Pelodiscus sinensis: one gene and its partners. The protein of the gene in region 1 interacts with the protein of each later gene in a pairwise test. Links are inferred from orthologs where the notes say so. Each region holds a gene or a part of one and is shown in the gene's direction. Other genes may lie near its edges.

Region 1 (7,600 bases):
CAGTATGCAGGTTAGCAAACATACCACAGGATGTCAGCATTGGGAATGTGCTCCAACCAGAATCGGCAATCTCCTAGGCTGCTTTCTTTATAAAGAATTTCTTTTCCCATCGTCATTTGTGTCTACAGACAAATTTCAATTCCTTAATCTCCTGTTCATTAACCTTTTTCTCTGTCCTTCCTGTGTCAGGCTAGTTAAAGGCTGTAAAAGTTGGTTGGTAGTTGCTTTCTAACTCTAACAGTAGCTCCCAAATATAAAAGAATAGCTTTCGGTCTATAAAACATCAAAGCCACCACAAAAATTCACCAAATCACTTCTGAGATCAATGATCAGTTTTCAGGTAGTGATAACTACCTCTCTGATCATACACAAAAAGCAATTAAGATTAAACGAACTGGCACCAACTTATAAAGAAGTTGTCAACAGGACTCCAGAATTTTTTGCATTTGTGAAAAAGCACTCGGCCACCTCCTCTCAGTTTTAGGGTATGTCATAGTTATTTTACATCAGTCACATGGGGCCTTTTAAACTGTAATGTGCTTTTGTGGAATACAACAGCTGTTTGAGACCAGAAGGTTTTTTAAAAGTTTTGACTCGTTAAAGCAGTGAGACAGGAGATGGTGAGGATCTGCTGGAAACCGTCTTCTTGCATTGAAATCATTCCATGAAATAACACTGATTTACTAGTTTCCTGTTGGGGGAACATTCTCATGAAGATATTGCAAAGCCAAGTCTGTCCATTTCATTTCTTGTTCTTTTACGGACTCTGTTGTACCACCATTGTCTTGTTCTGGTTCAGGAAGTTCGTTCTGAGAACACAAAAGGGGCAATGCATTCTATACCTTCAAAGCACCCTGACAAGATCAGCTTAGCATCATTTCATACTGGTACATGCACACATCTGCAACTAAGGCTGAAGGGAGCATCAGAAGAGCATGTACTGTACATACTGCTTCCACTAAAAATATCAACAAATCCAAATATGGGCATTCCATTTCCACAAGAATTCTGTACTTCGTTTTAGGAGTTGATTTCCTAACTTGACGGCTGGCTGACCCAAGCGTACACAGCAAAATAAATGATTGTAATGTCTGGTAAACATAGAATAAGTAGATATCAACGCAAATAGTTTATTGCCTGTGTGCAACCTTTTTCTCCCATAATAAAGTCCAAATATGTAAGTATTCTATGTCCGAATTTTAAATAAGGCATTCTCTCAAATCTCTCTTTTCTGTCATACAGAAGGTAACAAAGAGCAAAATAAGCAGCACTCTGTCTGGAATTTGAGGTCAATGGCTCTAAAGAGGCGAGGCTGTGCTAGTGCCATACAGAACACTGGAAAGCACTCCCGAGGTGCTTTTGCCTTAGGAACAGAAAACTGATGAGTCTACAGCTTGTCAGGATGAGCAATAGCGTAACTGTTTTGTTTTTCTCTTAACCATCTTTCTCTGCGAGTGCTATCATAACTGTGCAGTTGCTAGACTATGCGTAATTCCCCAGAATATCATCTCGTTCCTGGGTCTTGGCATCCTAGCGAGAGACAAAAGAGCTCCCCAAACTCTAGGAATTTGTTCACGGAGGATCTGATCTAAAGCTTGCTGAAGCCAATGGGAGTTTTTTCATTGTTTTCAATGGGCTTCAGCTCAGACTCTGAAGGCAGTAGCAGCAGTTAGGGCTCAAGCTACTGGTGGTCACCTACTGCCCATTGCTCTAAGCACCACCCACTTTTTAGTCAGCTCCTTCTTGACTTGGGAATGAAGGAATATCCCAAAGCTGCCATTCTGGTTTTTAGCTTGCCAACAGCCAATCCTATGTCAATGGCTCAGGTCTCATGGGGTCTTTAGGTCCACACTCAGGCCTTTTCTACTGTTAGTATGAGCATCTGCAGGGCAAGCCCAGGAAACCTCAGAAGTATGCTGTAAGGAACTCTTCCTCCACTCTGGGCATGCGCCTCAGTCTCCAAGAGTAGTTACATAGTTCCTCCCTCCACCCACTACCCAAAAAGGAGTGACGCTATCTAGTTAATTGACCATAAGATGAAACAAGTACCAGCACTGAAGAGGTTTCTGTATTCAGCCAGCTTAACGAGGCACATCCCAATAAACTCCAACAGGTAGGAGAGTTTGGGCTTCCAGAACTTAAAAAGAGAACCACAGTTCCGCACGGTGGAGATCGGATCATTCCCTAACGCTGGAGTACACCTGCAGAGGCTAAGTGAAGATAGTGAGTTGCTATGCATATGTCTGTGATAGGAGACTAATTCCCTTCAAGTAATCTTCTCACAAACTTTGTCTAATGTAAGAATAAAGAGAGGCTTGAAGGTTTTGAGTATGCAAACGTGGGAGGGAAGAAATCTAGCAGGATGAGTGGCCTACAATTTGGAAGTCCATCACTACTCTAAGAAGGGATCTTTGCAAAAGGTGATGCAGGTACAAAAGCCTGAAGTACATACACTCCGTGAGCAAAAATCATGGCTGGCTGAGAAGTGTCTCAACATGAAAGGCAGCCTGTCAAAATAGAGTGGACGAGGAAGGGCTTTATCCAGTTAATTAAGGAGAAAATCTCAAGATTTATCAGGCTTAAATGAGACGTTTCCGTTAATAACAAGGCTGTATCTATGCCTAGAGACAAGGGGCTGTGAAGATCCGGGTGTGCTATCAAGTAATCTGTGACAGATCAAAGATAGTTGCTAAGTGGACCTAGGAGTTTTCCCTTCTTCACTCTTGGCTAGCAGTACTGGAAGTATATAAGTGAAGGGGAAGTCTTTGGGTCCTCCCCTCTCCACTCGGGCCAGCAGCATAGCACTTGAAAAAGCTGAGGAAGAGGTTAGTCCTGGAACCCGCTCCTCACAGACTGGTGGTACTAGGAGTATGAGGGGAGGATAGAAAGAAACATTCCACCCTCCAAAGAAACAGGTAGCTCGCCTAGATTATGGGAAAGCATTTTCTCCTTCCAAAGCGAGGCAGTCAGCTGCAGGGAGAGAAGCACTTATTCCTCCACCAAGCCGGAGATATGCAGAGCTGGAAGAAATCCACCACCCCGCATAAAATAAATGGGAAGCTGGCCCCTGGAGTGAGGGAGCATCATTCATACAACTGTCAGAACTGTAAGGCACATTTCCTATGCCATGCCTCTGTTAGGAGGTTAAAGGGGGTAGACACATAATATAGGCTTATAAGCAGCTTACTGTGTTCACCTACCAAAGGTATTGCTACATCCTCGTATGGTAATTTATCTTCTCTCCATGCATCATCGATCAAATCCAGGATTCTTCCATCCCTCTGCACTTCACTGTCCATCTTTGCACAATTTACATGCAGATAGATCTGCGACATAAAGCAGAAATTATCCTTGATATCTAGAACCCAAAAAGATGGAGCTTAGATTCTATGCTTGCCCTGGCCATGACTCCTTTCTTAAATAGCTTAATGGCTGTTTTACAGTCAGTAGGGCATGGCACAGTTGTTTTTCATAGTTATTAATACCCTCCATTGTTTGTATTGCCCTATGAGACGCATGAACATGTTTCTTTTCCTACCAATTCAGTTTTTGTCCATGCAACAAACTAGCACATGTACGTGGCTTTGCTCAGGTTCCTAAGGTGTTCAGGGCAGGGAACTGGGAAAGTGGGGTGGGTAAGAGTCAGAGTGGGAGGGTAGGGAGGGGATCTGGCCAGGGGACTGTGGTGTGTGTGTGTGTGTAGCGGGGTAAGCAAAGAGGCTGAAGCTCCTTGAGTTTTGTACCAGGGTCACTTGCTCTTCCTCTTCTTGTCCCTGCCAGAGAACGAGAGCAAAGTGCACAGCTCGTCTGCCCCGTCCTCCCCAGCCAGAGGGAGGAATGCAGCACACTGTGCACTTTCCCCGTGCTCCCCAAAGGGAGCCAGCAATGTCCTCGTATTAATCTGGGGGAAGATGCGCCTCCCCTTGCCCTCCCTAACAGGTGTCTGCGGGGTAGGGCTGGGACCTGCCTGGTGATTCTCTCTCTTCTCAGTACGGTGGTATGAGAGTCAATCCCATTCCAGGCGCATCCCATTGTCCTGCACAACCCGCCCCTGCCCTTGCTTTAAGCTGTGCTCAGTGGAAGCGGCGTCCTGGCTTCGCTGGCCCTCGCTCTCACGCTGTAGAAACAGACAGACTCTCTCAGACCTGTGGCCGATTGTTTCCCTGCCTGTTCAGAAAGGGGCTGACATCGCCTCCCACGGGTGACGGGCCACGGCCCGGCCCCACCGCAAACACCTGTTGTGTCCCCGGCGGTGTCGGCCCCACACAGGCGAAGGCCGGCTGTGCTCCTGCGCCCAGGGCACCCCCCGCAGTGACCCCTCAGAGCATCTCCAGCGCACCCCCCGCACCAGCGCTGCGCAGCTACCCGGTCGCCATGGAGACGCCCCGCCCAGGGGCGGGGCACCGCCCGCCAGGCTCCGCCCCGCCGGGCATGCGCAGTAGCAACCCGGCACAGCGTCCCCTCCCCCACCCGCCTCCGGGCCCGGGGAGCAGCCCCCCCGCGCGGGGCTGAGGGGCCCCAGCAGGGGGCCGGGGCGGGGGCAGCCCTTCCCCCCCCACCGCGCGGGCCGGCCCCTCCCGCCTCTGGGCCTAGCCCCGCACCTGACACCCGGCGCGCGCGCCAGCCCCGTCCCGCCCCGCGGCCCTAGCAGCGGACCACGTGACCGGCGACTCTAGGCCGCGCCAACCATAGAGAGGCGGCGGCGCGAGTCCGCCGAGGAGAGAGAGGCCGGCCCGGAGGTAACGGCTCGGCGGGGGCGTGTCCTGGGTCGGACTGTGCCCGCCGTGAGGCGCTCACCCTCACCCTGTCTGACTGTGCCTGGCGGACAAGGGGCTGTCGCCTGTGCGGCGCTGGCTGTCTGCTGAGGTGACTGGAGGCGGGGCTCTGACTGTTGTTGGCCTTGTCTGACTGTCCCTGGGTGGCTGTAGCTTTTTGTCCGGCTGTGAGCCCGTGGCTGTTCCTGTGGGGCTGGGTCAGACTGTACCCTGCTGTGAAGCTCTCGCCCTTTCTGTGTGGCGAGGTGACTGTAGCCGGGGGTTGGCCGCCGTGTCTGACTGTCCCTGGGTGACCAGGGGACTGTAGCCTTTTGTCTGTCTGTGAGCCCGTGGCTGTTCCTGTGGGGCTGGGTCAGACTGTACCCTGCTGTGAAGCTCTCACTCTTTCTGTGTGGCGAGGTGTCTGTAGCCGGGGGTTGGCCGCCGTGTCTGACTGTCCCTGGCAGACAAGGGGCTGTCGCCTGCTGCCCGCCTGTGCGGTGCTGTTTATAGAATCATAGAATACTAGGGCTGGAAGGGACCTCGAGAGTCATCGAGTCCAGTCCCCTGCCCTCATGGCAGGACCCAGTACTGTCTAGACCATCCCTGATATTATTGCTGTCTGTCTGTCTGTCTGCCTGGTGAGGTGACTGTAGATGGGGGTCTGACTGTGGCTGGCCTTGTCTGACTGTTCCTGGGTGACGAGGGGACTGTAGCCTTTTGTCCGTCTGTGAGCCCGTGACAGTTCCTGTGGGGCTGGGTCACACTGGGTCAATGTCTGACTTTACCTGGCTGTGAGTCTGTGTGATGAGGTGACTGTAGCCTGGAGTCTGGCTGTGGCTGTTCATGCAAGGCTCTGTGCCCCCACCCCACTGGGGCTGTATCTTCACTGCAGGGATGTGGGGAAGGCACATGTTTCAACACCTTAGGACTGGAATTTGCACCTTTATCACAAAACGTGTTGATGAGTAAGTCTATAAACTGTGCTTTGGGTGCCCTTGTCACCCTGGAACTGCAGGTATTTCTGTGGGCCCCAAATTATGAACAAAAACTGAATTGGTAGGAAAAGAATGTTGTGTTCAGACTATGGACAAACCCCCCAAGAACCTGGGAAGTTCCCTTACTGGTAGAGACACCTTTTCAGTCCATCTTCCATCTAGTCTGGTCTCTGACAGTGCCTGATACCAGATGCAAAACTCCATAGTGCACTAAGTTGTGCAACAGTAGCACTTAAGTCATTTTCAGCACTGGTTCAGGAAGGCTCAGTGCAGGCAGTGTTTCAGAGTAACAGTTCAATATCCCAGTAGTATCTGGGACTTTTAAAGACTTACTTTCTGCCTTGGGTTTGACTTAAAAGTTGAGCTTGGTTTTGTTAATTTTGGATACTAGGGGGCTGAGCTTGGTTTTGTTAATTTTGGATACTAGGGGGCTGAGCATTCTCAGTGGAGAGGCTGTGGGTTCCTCCATGCTTGGCCCAGTTAGCTGACTTTAGGGGTACGGATGTTAGATAGTGATTAATTGATTAGTCGTGTAACTGCATCAAATTTTAGTAGTTACACAACTATTTGATTGTCCCCGGGGGCAGGGTCAGCAGCCAGTGTGCTCCGGCCCCACTCACGGGGCGCCCTCCTGCTGCCCCACGCTGTTCCTTCTCTATCGGAGGCAGCAGCATGGGGTGGCAGGCGGGAGCTGGTCTGTGAGGGGAGCCGATTTAAAAATTGGCTCTCGATGCAGATCAGCTCCCACCTGTTGCCTTGCGCTGCTGCCTTTGATACAGCAGAGGTTTATCGATTAATCATGTATTCGGCTACATGTTGACATCCCTATTTCAGGGCACATTTCAGAACCTGCTTTAATAATTGCCATTGTAAGGTCCGATGTCTTGCACTTCAGGAGATCTAGAAATGAAGTCTATTTTATGGCCTTGGAAAGTTGGGAGACACCCTCCCTCTTTTCAGTGGTAAAACTTTCAAAGGAGGAATGCAGAAGTGCCTATCGAGTAGTTGATGGAAATTCCGTCGACTACTCAACTAGTAAATTAATCATTATTTAACATCCTTAGTGTACACGGACACATTCCATTATTCTGAATATCATCCTGTGTACTCAAGCCTAAAATTCACTTCAGCGATGCTTCTTGCACTTACAGTTGGGGTTATACTTAAGCATTTTATTGAATGCTTAATATCTGACGCTGCTTTAGCAGCTGTCGTCTTGTATTGTTAAAGCATTAATTTTTAGCTTTATGCCTTCTGCAAGCTTGGAAGTGCACTCTGTAGTTTTGTAAAATGTCTGCTACTAGAACCATATCAAGTGTCAGAAAAGAAAAAAACAAGCAATATGATACAGTGATGTAATTATAAGGTCCAGTAGCTCGTTACCTTTCAAAGCTAGAAACACCTGTGGCAGGTCAATACAAATGCTTTCAGCATCAATACACTTTTCTAAGCACAAATCCAGGACCACTTCAGGAGATGGGGGGTAGAGGAGGGAAAGATGCTTGAAGGCTCTTTTCTATCTGTCATTGAAAAACTAGGGCTGCGTCTAGACTGGCATGATTTTGCGGAAATACTTTTAACAGAAAAGTTTTTCTGATAAAAGTATTTCCGCAAAAGTGCGTCTAGATTGGCACGGATGCTTTTGCGCAAAAAGTGTTTTTGTGCAAAAGCATCCGTTGTCAGTCTAGACGCGATTTTGTGCAAGTAAGCCCCGATCGCCATTTTAGCCATCGGGGCTTTTTTGCGTAAAACAGTTCTTCCCTGTCTACACTGGCCGTCTTGCACAAGTATTTTTGCGCAAGAGGGCTTTTTCCCGAGCGGGAGCGTGAAAGTATTTGCGCAAGAAAC
Region 2 (7,620 bases), on another chromosome or scaffold:
TGCCTTGGGGAAAGTCTATTTAAGGAAAGGAAAGCTATTGGTCTTTGGCTGGCCTTTGAAACTGCCTCATCCACGAGAGGGGACACACATGAAGAAATCTGAAAACAAAGAATTCTCAAGAACTCTAAGAAGCTGTAGACCAGGGATACTCAACTTTGGAAGCCCAGGAGCCACAATGATACTCACAGCACATGCCGAGAGCCGCAATTTAAGTGTGGTTGCATATACATGCAAATATATATGCAAACGTGCAAATAGCTTCTATCAGACTAATGGGCATGAATACAAAGCACTTCCCACAATGCCCTAGTGCTCCCGGCACCTCCTCCTTGGGGGCTAGAAACACCGAAACCTTGTACCCATCTGTTCCAGCCAGCCTGTCTGTTTGCTTCTTTCAATGCTCACCCCACTTGGAAGGCACCTCGCCATTGTGGAGAGTGTTCCCAGTGGAGGCTGTGTTCAAAGGATCCCACCTGTGGGCCACATGTTGAGCCCCACATAAACCCAAACCACACCACAGGCTGCAAACAAACAGACTATGGGCCGCATGCAGGCCATGTGTTGAGTAGCCCTGCTGTAGTCCTAGGCCAGAGTAAAGATCAATTCTGGCTTGCACATTTTACCTGAGATAAGAAAACAACTGTTAGGGAAAGAGTCTGCATGTAACAAGTTTCTTAGTGGATTGAGGAAGGCTTCTATGTGGACCCTTACTAATGGTCACAACGATAATCTTGATTTCTACACTGACTGCTTTCGCAAACGTGCTTGAGCTGACATTGTCAGCAAACAACATATAACCACAGCCATGCAGAAAGCAATGCTATACACAACCTCAAAAATAATTCTAACATCATAATCAAAGAGGCTGACAAAGGGGGCCCTGTAGTCATCATGAACTGAACAGGAGGTGACCAGACAACTCATCAGCACCAAATTCTACAAGCCTCTCTCCTGTGTCTCACTAAAGAATTCCAAAAAAACCTGAAACAGCTGCTCATGAGACTCCCTTATGACCAAATTTATACTAACAACCCCCCCAATCCCTGACCAAGAGTCTTCTATCTGCTACCCAAGATACACAAGCCTGGAAATCCCAGACGACCCATCATCTTAAGCATTGGTACACTTACAACAGACCCTGTGCTACCAGCACTTCCTAGCTATCTTTGAGACACCACTGACTTCCTGAGGAAACTACAAAACATCAGTCATCTACCTGAAAATACCATCCTGGCCACCATGGACATAGAAGCTCTTTACACCAACATTCCACATGAAGATGGATTATAGGCTATATTCCCTGATTGCAACATTGCACACCTGGTTACAGAGCTCTGCAATTTTGTCCTCACCCACAACTACTTCCAGTTTGGAGACAATTTGTATCTTCAAGTCAGAGGTACAAACATGGGCACCCGATGGCACCACAATATGCCAATGTCTTTATGGCTGACCTTGAACATTTCCTTTGCTCTTGCCCCCCCAAGACCCTTACTCTACTTATGCTACATTGATAACATCTTCATCATATGGACCCATGGGAAAGAAACCCTTGAAGAATTTCACAGAGATTTCAACAGCTTCCATCCCACTATCAACCTTAGCCTGGATCAGTCCACACAAGAAATGCAGTTCCTTGACACAACAGTACTATTAAATGATGGACAAATTTCCACCACCCTATATCGGAAACCTACTGACCGCTACACTTACCTTCATGCCTCTACTCATCCATGTATTGTATACAGCCAAGCCCTCCGATACAACCGTATACAGCCAAGCCCTCCAATCCCACAGACAGAGACAAACACCTAGAGGATCTATATACAGCATTCTTAAAACTGACATACCCAACTGGTGAAGTGAAAAAAACAGATCAACAGAGCCAAAAAAGTACCCAGACATGAACTACTTCAAGACAGGCCCAGAAGAGAAAACAACAGCATTCCACTTATCACCTACAGTCCTCAACTTAAACCCTTCCAACACAGCATCAACAGTCTACAGCCTATCCTAGAAAATGACACCTCACTCTCAGAGGATGTTTGGATGCAGGAGTGCTCGGGGCTGGGGCAGGAGCTTGGGGTGTAGGAGATTCATGACTGGGATAGGGTTTCGGGATGTGGGCTCCAGCTGAGCACTGCTTACCTCAGGTGGCTCCTGGTTCATGGTGCAGTGGGGCTAAAGCAGGCTCACCCTTGCCCTGGCCTACTCCCTAAAGCAGCCAACAAACTGCATTCCAAGTCCTGTTGTGCCCCCTCTCTGCTTTGTGGAGAAAGGATACAGATTGGCAGGGGGTAGCTTGACATCTGCACCCCTTCTCTGCACAGAAAGCAGGAGGCTCCCCAGGGGGAGAGGCAGCTCTAAGGCAAAGGGCAGGAGATGAGCAGCAGTGAGGGGAGGAGCAGCTGAAGTGCCAGCACTTGATAGCCTCTTGGCCAAACCAGTCAGGGTCACATGTCAGAGGCTCCAAGATCTACAGGTAGATCCCGATCTCCAAGTTGGTGACCACTGAGATAAACAAACAATGGAACACAAGAAAACAATGAGACAGTGCTGGTTAATATGACTGGCTGTGATATCAGCATACCAACTACCTAATTCTATTTATTATATCTTAAAGGAGGGTGTTAAAAAAGGATTTCTAGTTTCACAGATTGCAAGGCCGCAGGTGTCCAGGCCATAGAACTTTCCCAAAATAATTCCTGGAGCATACTTACCATCTTTTAGAGAAACATTCAATCTTGGTTTTAAAATTGCCAGTGATACAGAATCTACCAAGAGCCTTGGTAAATTGTTCTAATGGTTAATTACCTTCACTGTTAAAAATTTCTAGTATGAATTTGTCTAGCTTTAACGTCCAGCCCTTGGATCATGTTATACCATTCTCTACTCATTTGAATAGCCCATTATCAAATATTTGTTGTTCCCTGTGTAGCTATTTATAGATTGTAACCAAGTCACCCCTTACTCTTCTCTTTGTTAAACTACACAGATAGATTCAAGGATAGCAATCATTTTAAGTCATGTTTTCTGATCCGTTAATCATTCTCATCTCTCCTCTGAACCTTGTCCAGTTTATTAATGTCCTTCTTTAAAGGAAAATGACGAGGTACCTGAACATTCTAGGGTTTGTTTGTTTTTTGCAAATAATGGGGGAGCCCAAACTTATAACTCAATGAGGTGGGGGGCTCAGCTCAAAAAGTTTAAAAAACTACTCATTGTTGGCAGATGGGCAGCTGACGAGCAAGTATCTGATCAGCAGTAAGACCAACTAGTACTGATGGGAGGGGAGAAACTGAAAATATGGGACAATTTGCCAATTTTAAAGAAAAAGTAGGAACACCTTCAAGGGGGCTTTTAGAGGACTGTCTCTTTGAAAATGGGACATCTGTTCATCTTAGTTATGAAAGGCCTACAAAATGAAATCAAGAAGCTTAAGTTTGTTGCAATGACAAAAGAGGAGCTGTAGCCAATGAGAGCTCTGGATGGTAATATCTGGGGGTGCAAGGTTAACCAGCCTTTTTGGCAGCCTGCTAGTGGCTTACCCCATAGGCCACACATATGCCCACCACTGGATTATAGTAGAGGGACACAAAAAAAGGCAGGGCTGGCAGTGGCAAAGTGCCTATTTAGGAAAATAATCTTCACTCAGTAATGGGGCAAGATTGTATTTGTCAAAGCCAGAGACAAGATGTTGCAGTAATTGAGACAGAAGTTGATGGGAACCTAGACTTTTTTAAAATTATCATAGAGTTTATGATAATCATGGACCAGACCCTTCTCCAAAGAGCATGTCAGGATGGATTGAAACTAAAGGTCTTATCTTGCAGATATGATGCAGAAAAAAAAAATCAGCTAGATTTAAATAATTTGGTCATCAATAAACTGGTGATCAATAATCTGGTCATCAGCCTTAACCTGCCCTCTCTAGATTCTCACAGCCTAGATGTGAGACTATAGAGATGGCAAATTAAATCAGACGGCCAGATTAAAAATCTGGTAGGGACAATAGCAACTTGACTATGGGTCGGCAATAGCATGAAGGAGATAGACCTAAAAGACACGATTGACCGGTGAGACAGAGCACATCTTGCTGGTGCTCTGATTTCCGTGGTTGTACGAGAGGAGTGGGTGGGCTGTGTTAGGGCTGCGGTTCCACACGCCTAGCCCGCAGCAGAGGAAAGGGATGTGGACGGACCCTGAAGCCAGAGAGGGGGCAGTTCTCTGTATGGCGGAGGCGAAGCACAGAGCACGCATGGTGGGGAGGGAGAAGGGCCCCTCCACGCCGGGCACGTTTCTGATCCGCCTGGCAATTTCCGTGCCCCGGGAGTCAGGGCAGCGATGCAGTTACTGACGCAAGCTGCGTGGGGAAGGTGGCAGGTCCCGGGCGGCGCTACAACCGGTTTAGCAGAGCCGGTTTGGGAACTCGTTCGGCGAAGCTAAGGCTGGGGGCGGGGCTGGGAACGAGGCAGGGCGGAGCGGGTCAAGGTCCGGACCGCTTGCCAGCCCGCCCGCCCGCGGGAAGCAACAGGCAAAGGGGAGGGATATTGAGTGGAGCCGGCTGAACCTTAGTCTCCGCCCAGAGCTGCCCGCGCGCGCTGGAGCCGCATGACAGTTAAAACCGTTACCGCTCCCACTTTCGAACTGATTCAAACTCAGCAGCGCCCAACAGCCTGGCCCCTCCCTTCCCGGGCTCCGCGGGCGCTTCCTCTTCCACCAACCCCCAAAGACTTCGCCGCCCGCAGCCGACGGGGACTTCAAGGCTCCCCCCATTGCCCGCGCGCGCCGCTACGGGCGCCCCAGGGGGGGGGGGGGCTGAGGGGCGCGCGAGGGGAGCACGGAACTCGCCAGGTCCCCAGCCAGCGCGAGAACAAAGAGCGCCCTTCCACCCCCTTCTTCTTTCCTCCCCCCCACACGTGGGGCGCGAACGCTCCGCCCCCGGCACCGCCTCTGGCCGAGGCGGATTGGCTCAGGCGGCCCCTCCACGTCCGTCCAATCGGGGCGGTGCTTGGTTCTCTCCAATGAGCGTGATGCCGATTGGGCCGCCGGGTTTGGCGCTCGGTCCGGGAGGGTGAATCCGGCGGCAGAGCGAAGCGGGGACCCGGAGGCGGCGGCGGCAGCGGCAGCAGCACCGGCGGGCGTTGGGGAGCGGGGGTGAGCGAGCGAGCGCGCGGGAACGGCTATTTCTAACCTGCGCCCTTTGTCCGGGGGGAGGTGGCGGGGGGATTATTGGGGGATTGAATGGGGGGGGGCAGCCGCGAGGAAACTCCCCCCCCCCAGCGGGAGAGGGCGGTGGGGCGCGCGGGGGAGCGGGCGGTGGCGGGGCGCGCGCTGCCGGCCGGTGACAGCTGGAGAGAGACACGGAGCGTGAAGCGCCCTTTGTCTAAGTTGGCTCTGCCCACCCCGGCGGAGGGGATCCCCTCCCCTGGACCGACCCGACTGAGACAAAGACGGGACTAGAGCCGAGGGCTTGGGACCCCTAACGAGGGCGGGCGCGAGGAGGAGCGCAGCTTGTCTCTTCCTTAAACCCAGTCCCCTCACTCCCCATTGATTGACTTCAGACTAGTGGCGGGTGCAGGAGCAGTTTGACTGTGGGGAACCCCCTCCCCCCCTCCCTCCCTTCCCCCGGTTACAAGGCAAACGAGGTTTTAAAACGCCTGATTGAAACGCGCAGCAAAACCCTTCGTTCCCCGAGAAGGAGGCGGGAAAAATTGAAATTACGCTCCCCACGCGGGGCGGGGGGCTCCTTGCTGCGGGGAGACGTTTAGGCACTTGGGCAGGTCTGCTTCAGTCTCATGTGTTCTTACATAGTCTCCCGGAAGCTGATGTTCCGTGCGGGGGCTGTTGAGCTGTCTCTGGGTTGTTCCTCCTTTTGCTGTTTCATACGAGTTGCTGTTTTGAGTCTCCCCTTACATTCCCCTTCTCTATGTATACGCAAATCTTGGGTGTAGCAGCAAAGGTGTTAAATGCAAAGGCAGTGGGGGCGTGTTACTGACAAACGTACCTGAAAGCAACTCGAGTGAACTTCCGAATTTCTAAAGTTCAGTACTGGGTCCCTGTCTTCCACAGCATTGCCTGGCTTTTCCCAAGTTCAGATAGGCTGAAGACTGTGATTCTAGAACAAAGTGTATTGAACATGAGCACACTTCAAAAAATATGTTTTTTATTGAGTCATTTTTGGTAGGTGTAAGGGGGTGGTGTTGGAGGAAGCTGCCTATTTATTCACACTGTAAGAGTCAACGAGTGGCTGGTAAATATGATGCAGTAAGACTGATGTGTAATCTGGTATTATTGTAGTGTTCAATGTTTAATAGTTGCCTGCAGGTGATTCAGAAGTTATTGGGAGTGAGAAGAAGAAAAGAAGCTTGTAGGTGTGTTTATGTAAATTAATTTGGATTTTGTTCAAGTAGCTTCTTTTCTAGTTCTGAAATACTATCCACATTGTTCTGGAGTGGAAACCATACAGCATTAGAAAGTTGGGAGTTCAGATTTCTTTTCTTTTCCCTCTCAGAAATGAAGACCTTGAAAGACTTCATTTTTAGATTTGTGTTTGCAAAATTCACCTTTTGTGCTATTCCACTGAATGGAGTTGTATAGGTTTACACCAGGATACAAATGTAAAGGGATCAGAAGTATGTATTGGGGATTCTATTGAATTTCTAACCTGGGATTTCGTTATCTAGTTTTAGAGAGTAATGCTCTAGAGTCTGAATGCAATTTGTAAGAGTTAATTAAAAGGCCACTCTTTCTGTTTATTCTAAGTGTCCATATCAAATTGGGAGCCCCTGGAATGTTTATTTGTGGTAACCAGAAAGCATGTTGTGAAGGGTGAGTACTTGTAAGCACTGTACTGTAAGTACTTTCAATTTGGTCTCTTAAAATGTGAATATTCAAGACCTGTTGATACCTCATGAGCAATCCTGCAATATAGCACTCTTATTTGGTTTTGTTTTCTTTATTATTTTAGTGTGGAATCTTGCATGTGAATAGGATATTAGAGAATATGTTAACTTTTTAATTCTATGTACTTTTTATTCACTCACCTAAAGAGACAATCCTCTGTTGCTTAGCTGTTTTGAAGATGTTTGAGACATTAAATAAAGGGTTATCTTTAAACGATGAGACAAATTCTTAGGAGACACCTCTTGTTTTCATGAAAATGTACCTAGTTATTGAAAGGCAGTGGTGGAAGTGTCTACATAAACATTTTTTTAAAGCTTCCCATGAGGTGTCAACAATTATTTTGTCTTAAAACTATGCCATATTCAATAGTCACTAGTTTAGGTTGACCGCAATCTGCAGGATTTGGGTTTGTCACAGGGATATTAAAAGATAACTGCTTCAAAAAGTGACTTTGTGGAACTCTTTGTCACTGACAGGCAAATCAAATGAGCTGTTATTTTTATATATATCTTTAACTTAGTCCTGTAAATTGAAGCTGGGAATTTGAAGGTTAAGTTGTTTTCTTTTCTGCTTCTCATTGGAACTACTGAAGACTTCAAGTGGAATTTAGTTAGCAATGTTGACAATAGAAAATAGTTCTCTTCAATAAGAAACAGAGGACTGAAATATAGTAATCATTACATATAATCAGCATATATATGGGATTTAAAGGCC
Region 3 (7,987 bases), on another chromosome or scaffold:
TCCAGCACTTTCTCACATAGTGCATGCACAGTGAATGTTTGCTCCACCCATATTTGAACTATGTGTGTTGAAATAAAATCTTGAAATATACTGGACGCTCTTACCCACTCTCTTTCATAGATTACACACTTGTTCTTTTGCACTGCCTATTTGCTTGGGAGCTATTCATAGTGGGCTATTAAAATTTAAATATTTTACCCTTTAAACCAAGGATGGACAATAATTTTTTATGGGGGTGGGCACTTTTGGAAAGTGGTCAAGGGCTACACTCTTCCATTATATTAATGGAGGCGGTGCGGGGTGTGGGATGCAGGTTGGATGCAGCAGGGAACTTGGGGTAAGGGACCGGGATGCAGGAGGAGGTGGGGGTTCTGGGAGGGAGTTTGGGTTAAGCAGGTGGTTGTGATTTAGGGCAGGTGATTGGGGTGCAGGGGTTTGAGTTGTTACCTTGGGCAGGGGATTGGGATGCAGTGTCTGGGAGGGGGCATGAGTTCAGGAGGGGGATGGAGGGTTTGGCTTATATAGGGTAGGGGGGTAGGAGTGAGGGGAAAGAGGGTTGGGGAAAGGGAGAGATTAGGGTGCCAGAGGCAATCTCTGGCTGGCAGGCCACTAAAAGTGAAAATCACAGACTCTTACACACAGATTTTACATGTTTATCATTATAACCTATACATTGCATATAAAATGGGCCGTAACCTAAGGAACTGTTGCCCTGAGCCTCAAAGATATTTAGGCTTTCAAAATTCATTTAAATAAATGGAAGTTAGGAGTGTAAATACTTTTGAAGATCTATATCAGTATAGTAGAGGAACAGTGGTCAAGCTGGTAATATGATACTTAGGCTATGTCTACACTGCAAGGTTTTTGTGCAAAAACGGGCAGAGCATCCATATATCAAGTATGTTTTTGTGCAAAAAAACCCAACAAAACAGTAAATCGACAGGATGGAGGGCTTTTATTATTCTTCTCCCCATGAGGAATAACTCCTTTTTGCGCTACAGCTCTTGTGCAAAAAGGCATGTGTGGACGCTCCGCAGGGGTTTTTTGCACAAAAAGAGCCTATCAGAAAAAGAGCCCGATGGTCACTCTGTTAATGGCAGTCAGAGCTTTCTTGCACAAGAGCATCCATGCACCGTGAACGCTCTCTTGCGCAAAAGCTGTATAAGCATTAGTGAATGCCTTTTATTTTACTTTCCAGTGTCAGCAAATATTGTATTAGTCATGCTCTCCTTAAGAACGTAAGAAAGGCCATACTGGGTCAAACCAAAGGTCCATCCAGATCAGTACCCTGTCTGCCGACAGTGGCCAATGCCAGGTGTCCCAGAGGGAGTGAATCGAACAGGTAATGATCAAGCGATCTCTCTCCTGCCATCCATCTCCACCATCTGACAAACAGAGACACCATTCCTTACCCATACTGGCTAATAGCCATTAATGGACTTAACCTCCATGAATGTATCTAGTTCTCTTTTAAACCCTGTTATAGTCCTCGCCTTCACAGCCTCCTCTGGCAAGGAGTTCTACAGGTTGACTACGCGCTGTGTGAAGAAGAACTTTCGCTTATTAGTTTAAAACCTGCTACCCATTAATTTCATTTGGTGTCCTCTAGTTCTTCTAATATGGAAACTAATAAATAACTTTTCTTTATTCATCTTTTCCACGCCACACATGATTTTATATACCTCAATCATATCCCCCTAATCTCTTCTTTTCTAAACTGAAAAGTCCCAGTCGCTTTAGCCTCTCTTCATATAGAACCTGTTCCAAACCCCTAATCATTTTAGTTGCCCTTTTCTGAACCCTTTCCAAGGCCAAAATATCTTTTCGAGGTGAGGAGGCCACATCTGTACACAGTATTCAAGATGTGGGCATACCATAGTTTTATACAGGGGGAGTAAGGGTATGTCTACACTACCCCGCTAGTTCGAACTAGCGTGGGTAATGTAGTCATCCGCAGTTGTAAATGAAGCCCGGGATTTGAATTTCCCGGGCTTCATTTGCATGAAGCCGGCCGGCGCCATTTTTAAATGCTGGCTAGTTCGGACCCCGTGGTGTACAGCTAGTTCGGATTAGAAGCCTAATCCGAACTAGCTAGTCCGTGTAGCCACGCGGCACGGGGTCCGAACTAGCCGGCATTTAAAAATGGCGCCGGCCGGCTTCATGCAAATGAAGCCCGGGAAATTCAAATCCCGGGCTTCATTTGCAACTGCGGATGACTACATTACCCCCGCTAGTTCGAACTAGCAGGGTAGTGTAGACATACCCTAAGATATTCTGTGTCTTATTTTCTATCCCTTTCTTAATAATTCCTAACATCCTATTTGCCTTTTTGACCGCTGCTGCACACTGTGTGGAAGTTTTCAGAGAACTATCAACGATAACTCCAAGATCTCTTTCCTGATTTGTCGTAGCCAAATTAGCCGCCATCATACTGTATGTATAGGGGTTATTTTTTCCAACGTGCATTACTTTACACTTATCCACTTTAAATTTCATTTGCCATTTTGTTGCCCACTCAGTTTGGTGAGATCTTTTTGAAGTTCTTCACAGTCTGTTCCTGTCTTGACTATCTTGAACAGTTTAGTATCATCTGCAAACTTTTACTTTTCTCTTCTGTAGAATTTTCACATTGAGTCAAATTCTGTCAACCTTACTCAGGTTGACTAGAATTTTACTTCGCAGGTATTCCTATTGATTTCAGTGTGATTAGAAGGGGGGTGCAGTTTTATTTGGCATGCAGAAAGGTGACAAAACTTGGCACCTAAATTGTACAATTTATTTTACTTTATTTCCTTTCATGATATATATAAACTTCTAAAATGCTCTTTGTTCCATGTGACCTATTTTTTGTTAGAATCTGACTTCCAGCCTTTCATGATTTGCTCATGATCAGACACAAGGTGACTTCTTTCAAAACACAAAATTCTATTCAATGAGAAAAAAAGAATGCTTAGCTGTAGCTGTTGTGACTAGGAATAGCAAGAGACGAATTCCTGCTTCTTTCATCCATTCATGATGAAAAAGAAGTTGAAGTGAAATCTTCATTTGTTCATCATCTGATATTCCACTCTGTGTCAAAAATTTCTGTTCTGTCCTTATTTCATAGCAGCCCCATGGCTGGTAGTGCCTCACTCCACTCAACTGTTGATGTTGTCATAATGATCAGGCAGATTGTGAGCTAAAATTTCTGCTTTTTATGAAAAAAAAAGGATCATTTTATTGGTAACTCATATTTCTCTTTGCCTATTTTATGTCTGTTGTTTCTTGTCCCACACTTGGCTTGTTAAATCTCTGGGACAGGAATGGTCTTCTGAATATGTGTTTATACAGTTCATATCATAACAAGGCTTTCACCCCTGACTGGGGCCCTGACATACCAGTGTTGCTGCAAATAAAAAATACTTAGATTTTATACAAAGTATTGTACTCTAGTTGTTATAAATTATGCCCAGGTCACCACAGTTCCTTCCCCCCATTGTTTGAGGGGTGGGACCCAGAGCTCCTGCTCTGCACAGGTGATCAGGTATTTTTCTCCACTCCAGTTCCACACCTAAGAAGCTCAGCTCTCCAGCTGGGTCTGGATAGCCCACTCTTCTGGGGTTGGAACAGAACAAAAGAAGAATTAATACAAGTGAATATTCCCCAAACAGGGTAAAGGCTATCTTCCTTCTGGGGCTGTTCAGCAGGCTGCAGCCCTAAGCAGAGTTCCCAACTAAATAGAGGGGACTGATCTCTTCCTGCATGCCAGGGAGAGTCAGCCTCAGGTTATTTTCCTTCCTTCCAGAAGGGGCCAGTGGGCAGTGGCCATTCTAGGATCTCCTGCCTTTAAGTGATCTCCTCTCCCGGCACTGGAGACTGAAAGTCAACACTCTCTCCATATGTGCCAGAGCCAAGTGCCTTTTAAGCTCTTTACTCTGTTTTTTGCATCTCTCCCAGCTGTGATGGGGCAGGACCAGCTGAGTCTCTCTGGCTTGCTAACTCTGTGTTGCCCAGAGTAGGGTGCACATCACACAGCTTTTGAGGGGGAAAATGTCCAGTTTATCCCAAACGGAGGAGCCTTGTGGTTTATGACAAAGGTAATTTCTGTTGGGGTCAGACTACTAAACTCCTTCTCAGTGGGGAAAGTAACTTACAATTACTGTCCTTTTGCAATGGGGGTGGCTGACAGCTCTTTAGATAGCTCCACTGCTGGCTTTTGCCACAGCTCAGCCAGCTGTGGCTGGAGCTGTGCACCAGGGTGCACCTGCTTACTTTCACCTCTGCTCCTTCCACTTGTGGGAGAGTTGGTGAGCCTTAACCACACATCTCCCCAGGCACAAGCTATTGCACAGAGCTGCTGGGCCCTAGTCCCTCTGCTGACCACTCGTCTATAGAAAAGCAAATACCCACAGGCTGCTCCTCTGCAGGCAGTTAAGGCAGTTCTCCGCCGCCATCCCAGCAGCCACACAAAGCTGGTGAGGATGCCTACTCACCACCCAAGAGGGAGATGCGCAAAACTGCGGCCCTCCTATCCGTGCCTAGGGCCCACACAGTAAACCCTCGATGCCAAAGCATCTCTCTGAAACCCAGTGTTGCAATGGCGCTGATTACATTACCGTTCAGTGCCGGGTGACCTCCGCCCCTGCTAGGGATGCCAATGCACAGACTGTATCCCGGAGCAGCAGCAGCCCCACGCCTGCCCCTCCGCCTCCATGTCAGGCAGGTTGCAAAACGCGCGTGTGCCCGGGTCTGCTCGCATCGCGGCCCAGGAGGAGCGGGAGGCCAGCGCCCAGCCGGCACTGGGGTGCGTGTCGCTCCGCCCGCCCGCCGGGGCTCAAGCAGGGCGAGGGGCTTGCTTGGGTGCGGGGGGGGGGAGGACACGAGGGAGGAGGGCGCTTGCGTCCCCCTCCCTCTGCCGCCCGGGCGCGGGGCGGGGGTGCGCGCGCTCTCCCCGCCCCCTGGCTGCCGGCTCGGCGCAGCTGTCGCGGTGCAGGCGGGCTGGCTGCGGATTGCTCCAGTCCCCTCCCTTTCACTCCAGCCACTGCCCGGAGCTGCCAGCCCCGGCCACGGCTGCGGCATCTCCCCCTCAGCGCTGCGGAGCCTTGCGCGCGCCGGCACGGGAGCGGCACCCCGGCCCCGCGAGGTAGGGGGGTCTCGGTGCATGCGGACAGCAGGGCACAGGCTCGCTCCCCTCTCCGCCAGAGGAGGCGTCCTGCCCCTCCCCAGGGGCTGCAGGGGGCATGGCAAAGGCAGGGGGCTGACACCTCCCCACGGCAGGGGCGCAAGGAGGGGACCGCGCCCGGGCAGGGTGTGGGGGATTGCGGAGAAAGGGGGAGACGGCCTCGGATGCACCAGGGTGAGGCTCCCTTTGCAGGAGGGGGGGGGGGGCAGCGAGCAGGGCTGCCAGGGAGATGGCGGTGTGGGTGCGGGCGGCGCGCCCCCAGCGCGGGCACAGCCTCCATCATTGTGTTGCAGCGGGATTATTGTGCCTGCTCCCGGGCACTGCTGCCGCTGCCGGGTTTGTGCGTGGGCACGGGGAGGAACGGTCCAGCCGTGAATGGGGGTATCGACGTGGGGGGGGGGGGGCGAATGACAGCAGGAAGCTTAATCCCCCCCCCTTCCCTTCGCTCCCCACCCCACCCCGAGCCTGGGAGCCTGCCATAGGTGGCTGCCTGTAGCGGTACACGGGATGCAAACAGGCGCGGCCGGGAGCCTCTCCCCCGCCCTTCTGTCGTTCTGGGCTGGGCGTTCAGCAGGCGTCCGGGCAGTTCCCCTCGCCCCTTTCCTCATCCAGGACCGCAACAGGTTTGTGCTGTAGGGCGGGGTGCGGATCTGCCAGGGTCCCCGCTGTCCGGTTAGCGGGAGGGGGCTGGATCGCGGCAATCGTGCTTTTCCCGTCGTGCAAAACCCAAACCGGACCCAGTCCGTGTATCTGTCAGCATTGGTCTGTCGTGTTTGCCCGGGTGCAGTAGTTCTCTTGGGGAAGCGTGTGCCAGTCATTCGTGCCTGTGTTTTCGTTACTGGGATGGCTCTCCCTGCCCTTATGCCCGAGGAGAAATGATGCAGCACAATGCAGTGATCTAGCAACCTTTAGTCGGGGTTTTCCGGCTATATTTTGTATGATTCCCTTGTCAAAACCCCACCCAACAGGAAATCGGGATTGTGTTTTTTTTCCGCTCGGAGACAAACGCAATCACGGCCCAACCATTCTACCCGCTTGCCTTTTATGTTGGTGGTTTGTGACTCCGATCCGTGTGTTGCAGCGGCGGTGCGGGTGGCAATTGTGCGTTCCGAGCGAGGTTTTATTTGTTTTTGTTTTTTGCTTGCTCTTGGTTTCTGTAATGAAGGGGGAGTTATGCGATTGCAGTTCTGCAGCTCTAATGCGGTCTGATGGAGTCCAGCCTGCGGCTGTAGAACATTAATCTGATACTACAAAAGTAGCAGCATTAGGGAGGGGTTAGAGGAAGAATGTTATTGTAAATGAGAGGAAACGGTGCGTATTTATATTGTAGCAGATAGGCACCTACTGTTCATGCACCCTTTAAACACAGACTGTATGTAAATCAGAGGGATATATTCAAAGTGGTTCTTATAAAGTGCCCTTTCATATTATGCGGGAATGCACATTAGACCACCTGGTATTTTTTTACCTTTTACTTGAAACGTATTCGTGTTATCATCACCATTAAATGTTTAAATTCTAATACTGTACTTTCCAAAAGTGGTGTAAAGATATTTTCTGCTCTTTGAAATGGATTGCACTTCAGTCTCCCTTTAAATGAAATCTACAGTCCTTGGTCTGGATTTTTTCCAATTTCATTAGTCTTCTTTCATATTATTACCAGGTGCTTTTTATATTTACAGAAGAAACATTTGTTTTATTTTTTATTGTTTTATTTGTTTTATTAAATTCCTGACTTTTTACATGATTAGCCATATAAAGTTACAACTAATTGGTTATAAGGCTTTGGATTAATTTTTTAAATAGGCTGACAGTTTTGTGGACCTGAAATGCAGATATTACTAAAGGGAACCCACAGCTGGAATGGCACAATACATGAACTTGAATCCATTGGGTCTTCCAGATCAACAGAGTAGTTTGATATCTACAGGCCTATTTTAACAAACAAACAAAAAAATCTGCAGGACTGCAGTGTCTCCGAAATATCCATCCATAGCAGTGGAAAGTGGCCTTTTAAAATTATTTTAAGTCACCTTGATTTTAAACATAGATTCTTTGATTTTGAAGCATATGAAACATTAATCTATTTCAAGACTTAACTTGAGTGCAAAAATGGAGTGAGCAATTGAATGTAGCATAAATTCCATTCTAGTCCTCTAGTTGTGGGGAAATTTGCATCCTTATATTAGGAAAAGTGGCAGGGGGAGTGGAAAAGAAAAGATATTTCTTTCTACATTATGTCTACACAGGATTCTGTGCTTTCACTGTGTGATTGTCCATAGACATAGATTTTGTATGATCAGTATCAAAACTAAAATTCTTGTAAATGGAAAATAAACTACTAAGATTTGAGATTTCTTCAAGCATTAAGTACAAGGGTTTGTTAATAGAGCTAGGTGACTAATTTTTTATTGTTTCTGGCCTGTGAGTGAAATCATGTTTTGCATTAAGACATCTTGGAGACACTATTCCCAATAGTCCTGAAGATGATCTAGGTAGCTGGTGTTTATTAAAGAAATATCATCAGTGTGGAAGTGCCACAGGAGATTTAGCCATTTTGACTTGTCATCCTGTGTGCAAAACTCCCAGCCAGAAAAAAACACTTGAACATACCATGAAGCATCTAGAGCAGTCATATATACCATTGTGAGCTGCATATGTAACTCTCTGTGTTATGGGGGCTGCATCCATACAATCTGTATATTACCTTTATGACCCTGAGGATGGCACACACATAGGTCACAGCTGTGAGCCCATTGGGCTGCAAGCAGCCTACAGACTGAGAATGCTACTATAGAGAGAAAGATACAAGTTTATGTTGGTATT
Region 4 (7,605 bases), on another chromosome or scaffold:
ATTGTTCCTATAACTAAATCATAGTCAAAAAGTCTCAGAGAGCTAGTTGTGTTAGTCTGTGCCTTTAAAAACAACGAATACTCCTGTGGCACCTTAGAAAATAACAAAAATATATATAGTATCATGGGCTTTCGTGGGCAAGACCAGCTCGTCTGAAGAAGTGGGTTTTGCCCACAGAAGCTCATGATACTATATATTTTTGTTAGTCTCTAAGGTGCCACAGGACTACTCATTTTTAAATCATCGTCAGACTTTTAGGCCACGTCTTCACTGCAGAGTTTTTGCGCAAAAACTTGTGGAGCGTCCACACTACACGTGCTTTTTTGTGCAAGAAAAAGTACAGTAGAGCATCAGAAGTCAGGGCTTTTTGCGCAAGAGTTATTCCTCTTTCTACGAGGAATAAGCCTTTTTGCGCAAGAGCTCTTGCACAAAAAGGCAAGTGTGGACGGACAAAAGAAACCCCTATTGGAAAAAGCACAGGTGCTCTGATAGCCACTCTGTGAATGGCCATCAGAGCTTTCTTGCGCAAGAGCGTCGATGGCAGTGTGGACGCTCGTGCGCAAAAGGCCATCTCTTGCACAAAAGCACATGGCAGTGTGGACGTGCTATTGAGCAAGAACTTTTTGTGGAAGATCTCTTCCGCAAAAAGTTCTTGCGCAAGAAGCCTGCAGTATAGACATAGCCCCCCTGTGTAGGTCTCGTTGAAAGAAATGTGGTGTCTTTCTGATGTTCCTAAGTGGGGAGGGGTTTAAAGATAAAAATCCTAAAGCTTAAGAGTGTGATACTTGATAGGAGGGGAATTATACTTAGAGACTGAGGGTAGTGGAGAGGAGGCTGTTGTCACACATTTCCTGAGTAGAAAAAGAGATCAGATTGGCTAAAGCAGGGGAGGTACTGCCGAGGGACTCCTTCCCCAGTGACTCCCTGCCATCTCTTCCGTTATGTTCCCCTGCCCTTATGCTCCAGTCCCATTGTTTCCACATATGTTGCTCTCTTTCCTCCCTTCTCCCATCTCCTAACCCATCTGCCACCTACTTCTCTCCCCACCTCCTGTCATCCCTGCTCTCTGCTGTTTTCTTCCTCTGCCTCCTCCAGCTGGCCACTGCAGAACATGCGCAGTGAGGCCTCCCCAGAATGGAGGAGGGGGAGGAAGGAAAGATGAGATTCATCATAACACAGAGAGCTGATCCTTCCGCCAAGCAGTGAAAGGAAAACCAAGTCCCTTTTAAACAACATATTTGTGAAAGATTGGAACAGAAAAAGCGCTCAGCGCTCGTAACTCACCCTCTGCACGGTGCACATTACATACACTGCTATATTCATAAAGTTAGTTAGGATTTAAATATTAAAATCAACCTTTTACTCATCCTCTTAACTGACAAGTAGTGTTTGTGAGGGACTGATACAGTATTTGTTTTTAAATGATCATGAACATTATTTTAAGGATATGTAAGAAGATTTCATGTTTAGGCTGACCGATTTATATAGACTGTAAATAGAATGTTCTGCATATCCATCAATATGTCACCACTATTTATCTCCTGTTTAAAAGCAGATAGCCCTGCTATGAGATGTTTTATTCCCTATACTCAAAAGTATATGTGTGTCCTTGCTAGACACCCATTGATGTGTCCCTGTTCCATGTATTCCTTATGTCCATAGATGAGTTTTAGGGAGACAAGGAGGGTGAGGTAATATTTTATTGGACCAAAAGAAACAAGCTGTCGATCTTACACAGAGCTCTTATTCAGGCCTGGGCAATGTGCTCAGTGTCACAGCTAAATACAAGGTGGAACAGACTGATTAGCATAAGTAGCTAACACATGGTTCAAGGGATCATTTAAGGTGAAGTGGCCCATTGCAGTCCCAACAACACTGCATACATCGGTAGGGTTAGCATGTACAAACTGACCTACATTTTTCAAAAGTCATTAGAGATTTTGGATGCCAACCAAAGACACCTTAAATGAGCCTGATTTTTAAGAGGGCATGCGCTTGTTACTTTCTGAAAATAAAGCCTCATTATTATTTTTTTTAATTTCAGTAGTACCCAGGCACCTTAATTACTATCACTCCATTGTACCAAATGCTAAATTGGGCACCCAAAACTAGTAATGTGTGGTGGTATAAAATATATACTATATGTATGGCATACATTTCCTTCCCTGTGATAGGCCTTTGGGCACATGCATAGGACATGTTCTGGCATTATAGGATGCCCAAAATATAAGAAACACATGAATCTTTTTATCTACATAAAGAACACACAACTCCACTATGTACAGCAGCCTACACTTCCAAAAGTGACTAATGATTTTGGATGCCCAAAGAGAGGCATCTTGGTGGCACCCGATTTCAAATCATGATGCCTGACAGGTGTCTCAAATTGGACACACAAAAGCACTAATACCTTTTGGAAAAAATAGCAGTACACAGTGTGGCTGCGTCTACACTCATGGCTTCTTGCACGAGAAATATGCAAATGAGGCTAGGCGTGGACTATCGCCAAGCCTCGTTTGCATACCTAATGAGCCGCCATTTTTGCAGAAGAGACTCTTGCGCCCGAGAGAGCTATCTACACTGCCCCTTCTTAGGCAAGAAAACCCCTCTTGCGCAATGCCGCTACGCCGATTATTTTCAGGAAGAATGGCATTGCGTAAGAGGGGTTTTCTTGCGCAAGAAGAGGCAGTGTAGACAGCTCATTCTGGCGCAAGAGCCTCTTCTGCAAAAATGGCGGCTCCTTAGGTATGCAAACGAGGCTCGGCGATATTCCACGCTTAGCCTCATTTGCATATTTCTCACGCAAGAAGCCGTGAGTGTAGACATAGCCTGTGTGTGTAGGTGAGTGGATACACTGTGTTAGGGTCACACTCATGCATTATATAGATGTCTGTAGAGCACATATGTGTACGCAGTGTAAGTAACGAATATATGCATGCATTATATAGATGACTCCTGGGCATGCATTTAATGTGTTTATATCAATGACAGTGGTTCTCAACCTGTAGGTTAATCAGCACCCAGCTGTGGCCCAGCTGACAGCCTCGAGGCCATACAAATGTAGTGTATATGTATATGTATGTGGCCAGGTCCATGGCCAGGTCCATCCAAAACATGCAGCCACGTGGGGCACTGTGAAATTTGGGGCACCAAAATTTCATAGTGCCCTAAGAGTTGTATATGGTGTCCAGTGGGCCCTGTCCCCATTCCCTGCTACCCTTCCTCCCACAGGCAGTGCTCAGCCACTACTCACCAAGTGGCGGCAAAGGGAGCAGGGGACAGCCATGTGGCTGGAGAGAAGTTGCAGTTTCACCTTCAGGGTACGTCTAAACTCACCGTCGACGGAGGCATGTAGATTAGACAGATCGGCAGAGGGAAATGAAGCCGCGATTAAAATAATCGCGGCTTCATTGAAATTTAAATGGCTGCCCCACTCTGCTGATCAGCTGTTTGTCGGCAGATCGGGGCAGTCTGGACGCGCCGCGTTGACAAAGAAGCCTTTCTTGATCGGCACAGGTAAACCTGGTTTCACGAGGCATACCTGTGCCGATCAAGAAAGGCTTCTTTGTCGACGTGGCGCATCCAGACTGCCCTGATCTGCCGACAAACAGCTGATCGGCAGAGCGGGGCAGCCATTTAAATTTAAATGAAGCCGCGATTATTTTAATCGCGGCTTCATTTCCCTCTGCCAATCTGTCTAATCTACATGCCTCCATCGACGGAGGCATGTAGTTTAGACGTACCCTTAGAGTGCTGCTTCTCTCCTGCCAGTGGTCTGGCCACTCTCCTCCTTCTCCTGAACCCTTCGGTCCACACTTGTGTTGCTCCCCACTGCCCACACCGGAAACACCGCCACCCATTGCAGCAAATGGTGTCTGATCCAGGAGAACTGGCAACCCTCTAGAAGACCCTTCACAGCTTCTGCCCCCGGAGCTCCACTGCAGAGGGGCTGGCTTCCCCCTGGAGCAGGATGGGTGCAGGTGTTGGGCTGTGACAGCCCCTGCAGGCCCCTGGGCAAGGTGTGTGTGTGGGGAACAGGCTGCACGCTCCTGGAAGGGGTGGGGTCTTGGGTGGAAAGGGTGGCATTGGGGGCACCCAGCCCTCCCAGTGGTTTAAAGTGCACCATGCCAGCCCCCAGGCAGCTCAGCACCCCCCCCCCCCCAGTCCATAGCAGACCAGTCGCCACCACTGCCCCAGTACAAGGGGTGACATGGTGCAAAGGGGCAGCTGTTCCCAGGACAACTGCCCCTTTTGCCCCCTGTGTGGGGGCTGGCAGGTAGGGCGCCAGGGCTGGCAGGGGCAACACACAACACACCCCGGGGTGCAGACGAGTGAGAAACTGAGGGTAGGGGCTGGGCACAGCCTGGCTGGGGGGGGGGGGGGTGCCCACAGGGAACCCTGCCTCGCGGGGGGGGGGGGAACACGTTCTGAGAGGAACGCGCGGGGGGGGGGGGGAGAACACGTTCTGAGAGGCACGCGCGGGGGGGGGGGGGAGAGAACACGTTCTGAGAGGCACGCGCGCGGGGGGGGGTTGTCCCGCGCGAGGGGCGGGGCCAGCTGCCGGCCCTTCTTTCCCGCCCTGCGGCCCGGGCCGCGGCTGGCTCGCTCGCGCCGTCCTCCCCTCCGCGCGCGCGCCTCTCCCCGCCCCTCCCGCAGCGCGTCTCAGCCCCGGGGGCGGCGGGAAGGCGGGCGCCCGCCATGGAGCCCTGAGTCCCGCGGGCAGCAGCCGCCGCCTGGAGCATGGCCCGGCACGGGCGCTAGCGGCCTCCCAGCAGCGCCCGGCGCCGCGCCGCCAGCATGGGGTGCTGATGGGCCGCAGCCCCGACCGGCAACCCCGCGGCAGGGGAGGTGAGTGGCTCGTCCCCACCGGGCCGGGCGCCTTTGTGCGGCTGCAGCGGGCAGCGGGCATGCTCGGGGGGGCGGGTTATGCAACGCCGCCGTGGACAGCGTGCAGCCGGGGATAGCCTGCGAGAGCCGGCCGTCCTCGTGCATGCGTCCCGGCGGGCGGGCGCTCCCCTGCGGCGCTGCAAGGGGCATGCTGGCGGCGTATGGAGGTATTTGTGCTTGCAAACAGCGCGGGCCTGTGTGGCTGTTGACATAGGGAATGCATGCAGCGGGTATGTGGCTGGGAGTAGCATGCATGCCGAGATCCTGGTCTGTTGCAGGATACAGTATCTAGTATTGTTTGGCGATGTAAATCCGCAGTACCCCTATGTCTGTGTGTAGTGTGTGTGTGTGTCTATTGTGTTTGTCTATTGTGTTTACTTCCGTGTTTACAGTATGCACTCACATCCATGTTACAGTTTGTGTAGGTCTTTTTTTTGCAATAATCCTATCTATATCTATATCTATATCTATATCTATATCTATATCTATATCTATATCTATATCTATATCTATATCTATATATCCATTGATTTGTATTGACTGTCAAATGCAATAAAGAAATTAACTGGGTGTATTTCAGTTTGCGTGCAAGTATGCATGCTTTTATCCTCTCTTCCGGTGTGTCACGTTTCTAAATAATCCCGTGTCTGACCAGTCCTGCAAGATATAGGCCAGTCCTGAAAGGTGCTTAGCATCCTCCTCTCCTGCGGGAAACTGAGGGCCCCTAATATGGACTCTTTATTTCTAGGTCCCCAATCTTGAAATAAACTCTGATTTGGAGTACTCTTGCACCTGTGTGGTGTTCCAGTGCAGCCATTAGGACTCCATGGAGGTTCAGGGGGCTACCTGGGCAGAATTCATTTTTGGCATTGGGGGCTTTGATGTTCTAAATCTTGTTCAAACTGGCATAATTCCACTTTATTTGTACCCACTTCTCAGTCCTGTAATTTTACTGCAGATAGGGTATCAAGTATTTCTTGTGCTTTAGCTCTTGTTTTTGTCCATATGATCAGTTGTCCCTAATTCTTTCTGTCTTAGATTGATTACTCTCTAGCAAAAATATGCTTTAAAATACAACTGTGCTATATTTTAAACTCCTGATCTGACTCTAAAATTGTGCAGTCAGGTTTCTTGGATGCTGTTGGTTTTTGTTTGGTGGTTCTTGGTTGGTACCATCAGTTGCAGTGATGGGGACCCCCCATGGAGAGTGTTTTCTTGAAAGATGACTGAATTACTCATGATGTTGTTTCTTGTAATCCTGTCCTAGAAGGGATGAGAGAAACAGATAATGTTGCCCTAGGTTATTTCATGCTAGTGGTTTAAAGAAGCCTTTGCAAAAATTCTCATGATAATTTGCTACCTTAGGCAAAAAATCCATTTCCCCACCTCTTACCCTAATGTTGGAAAACAAAATTAATGATGCTTTATTGCCTGTTTTAAAAAAAAAAATGATTAGTTGCCCTGGGCAGGCAGGATTAATATGGCTGACTTAAACAGTTGCTTTTCAGCTGCTGTGTAGCTCACAATGCCCCTTTCCCTGCATCTCTGACATAGGCACAGTGTTTTGAATTTTTTTAAAAACCCCTATGTATTTAAATTGCACAGAAATCTCTCCGGTTACGTGGTTCTAGTCTTCCCCCTCAAGCTTGGCTAATGTTTTTACTGTCATAGAGTGATGAGTCTGTAGGCTTTTGCAACCTTTAGATTAGTTTATTGCAGTGCTTTATTTACAATTACCTCAGGGATACTTGTATATGGCACTAGGTTTTGTAAGGTATAGCTAGTAGAAGTTTAGCTCTGGGAAAGCAACCACAATATCTTATTCCAGACTTGGGGAAATCTTCTTTGGATTGCTGCCAACAATTATATTTGCTTTTAAAATTGTTCATATGCTTTGAAAATGTGGTGCACAGTTCTGTGCCTTGTTCCGACCTGCTCTGTCTGGAAAAACTGTGGGTTTGAGCTCTGCAGAGCTAATCTGTTGGGAAAGCCAATAGGCGTTGAAACGTTTTGGTGTGTGCACTTTTAATTGCTCTGCACCTCAAATTTGGAATGTTCTCTTAGCTGGGGTTTGGAAGGCCTCATTAAAAGACTCTTCTTAATCTGTTCCTTGTATATTCTTATAGATTCTTGCTTTTTGTGTGTTTGGGATCTAATTTAAAACACCTTCTGAGACATTTGCATGAAATGTTTCTCTGCTAGTATAAATCTATTGGGTTGCTTAAATGCCCTTTCCAAAAATATATTGCACTGTAGCTATTTGAAGAAGTATAGATTGCTCTGCTGCAAGTTAGGGGCTGCTACTCTGTGTCTGTTCCAGCAACTGCTGGAGTACACGCTGGTGAAGGCCTTCAGGGTGGAAAGTCTGTGGGAAGGGAAATAACGCCACAAAACACCTAGGAGTTCCCTTATATTGGGGTGCTGCTTGTCTGGGATGGGGCCAGGCCAAGATGACTCCAGGATATGCACCTTGGGGGGTCTCACAGCAGCAGTTGCTGTTCATGGAGTTTGGGGTGGACATTACAGATTAAAGCAATATCTTATATCCACCTCCTAACAACTGGTAGGAACCATGAAAGAGGAGGGTTGTGGCAATCACACCCTCTCTCCTCTTTTGGGGTGAATCTCTGTGGAGCTTTGCTGGCAGCTAGAGGTTTAATATTGTATACTCTTTGGGCTAGCAAATAACTTTGTTCTGTGTTTGTAAAGTGCCCGGTA

The links.
Region 2: the proteins of CEP63 (region 1) and EZH2 interact in binary tests that used the Homo sapiens proteins (3 or more experiments, as listed by UniProt). The two-hybrid records come from large-scale screens. The link is inferred for Pelodiscus sinensis from reciprocal best matches to the Homo sapiens genes CEP63 and EZH2.
Region 3: the proteins of CEP63 (region 1) and SPTBN1 interact in a two-hybrid assay, tested with the Homo sapiens proteins (2 studies listed by BioGRID and IntAct). The link is inferred for Pelodiscus sinensis from reciprocal best matches to the Homo sapiens genes CEP63 and SPTBN1.
Region 4: the proteins of CEP63 (region 1) and CCNI interact in a two-hybrid assay, tested with the Homo sapiens proteins (2 studies listed by BioGRID and IntAct). The link is inferred for Pelodiscus sinensis from reciprocal best matches to the Homo sapiens genes CEP63 and CCNI.

What each region holds. Positions count from the first base shown.
Region 1 is NC_134720.1:1,059,318-1,066,917, forward strand, and holds the start of CEP63 (centrosomal protein of 63 kDa), read left to right. Parts: upstream 1-4,585; 5' UTR 4,586-4,866; intron 4,867-7,600. Other genes in the region: ANAPC13 (anaphase-promoting complex subunit 13), read right to left, coding at 684-809, 3,201-3,299. UniProt on the Homo sapiens protein: Required for normal spindle assembly.
Region 2 is NC_134712.1:160,849,559-160,857,178, forward strand, and holds the start of EZH2 (histone-lysine N-methyltransferase EZH2), read left to right. Parts: upstream 1-4,620; 5' UTR 4,621-5,157; intron 5,158-6,765; 5' UTR 6,766-6,793; coding exon 6,794-6,831; intron 6,832-7,620. UniProt on the Homo sapiens protein: Polycomb group (PcG) protein. Catalytic subunit of the PRC2/EED-EZH2 complex, which methylates 'Lys-9' (H3K9me) and 'Lys-27' (H3K27me) of histone H3, leading to transcriptional repression of the affected target gene.
Region 3 is NC_134713.1:175,365,027-175,373,013, forward strand, and holds the start of SPTBN1 (spectrin beta chain, non-erythrocytic 1), read left to right. Parts: upstream 1-4,973; 5' UTR 4,974-5,122; intron 5,123-5,311; exon of another isoform or gene 5,312-5,335; intron 5,336-5,646; exon of another isoform or gene 5,647-5,784; intron 5,785-6,238; exon of another isoform or gene 6,239-6,262; intron 6,263-7,987. UniProt on the Homo sapiens protein: Fodrin, which seems to be involved in secretion, interacts with calmodulin in a calcium-dependent manner and is thus candidate for the calcium-dependent movement of the cytoskeleton at the membrane.
Region 4 is NC_134715.1:8,573,119-8,580,723, reverse strand, and holds the start of CCNI (cyclin-I), read left to right. Parts: upstream 1-4,588; 5' UTR 4,589-4,848; intron 4,849-7,605.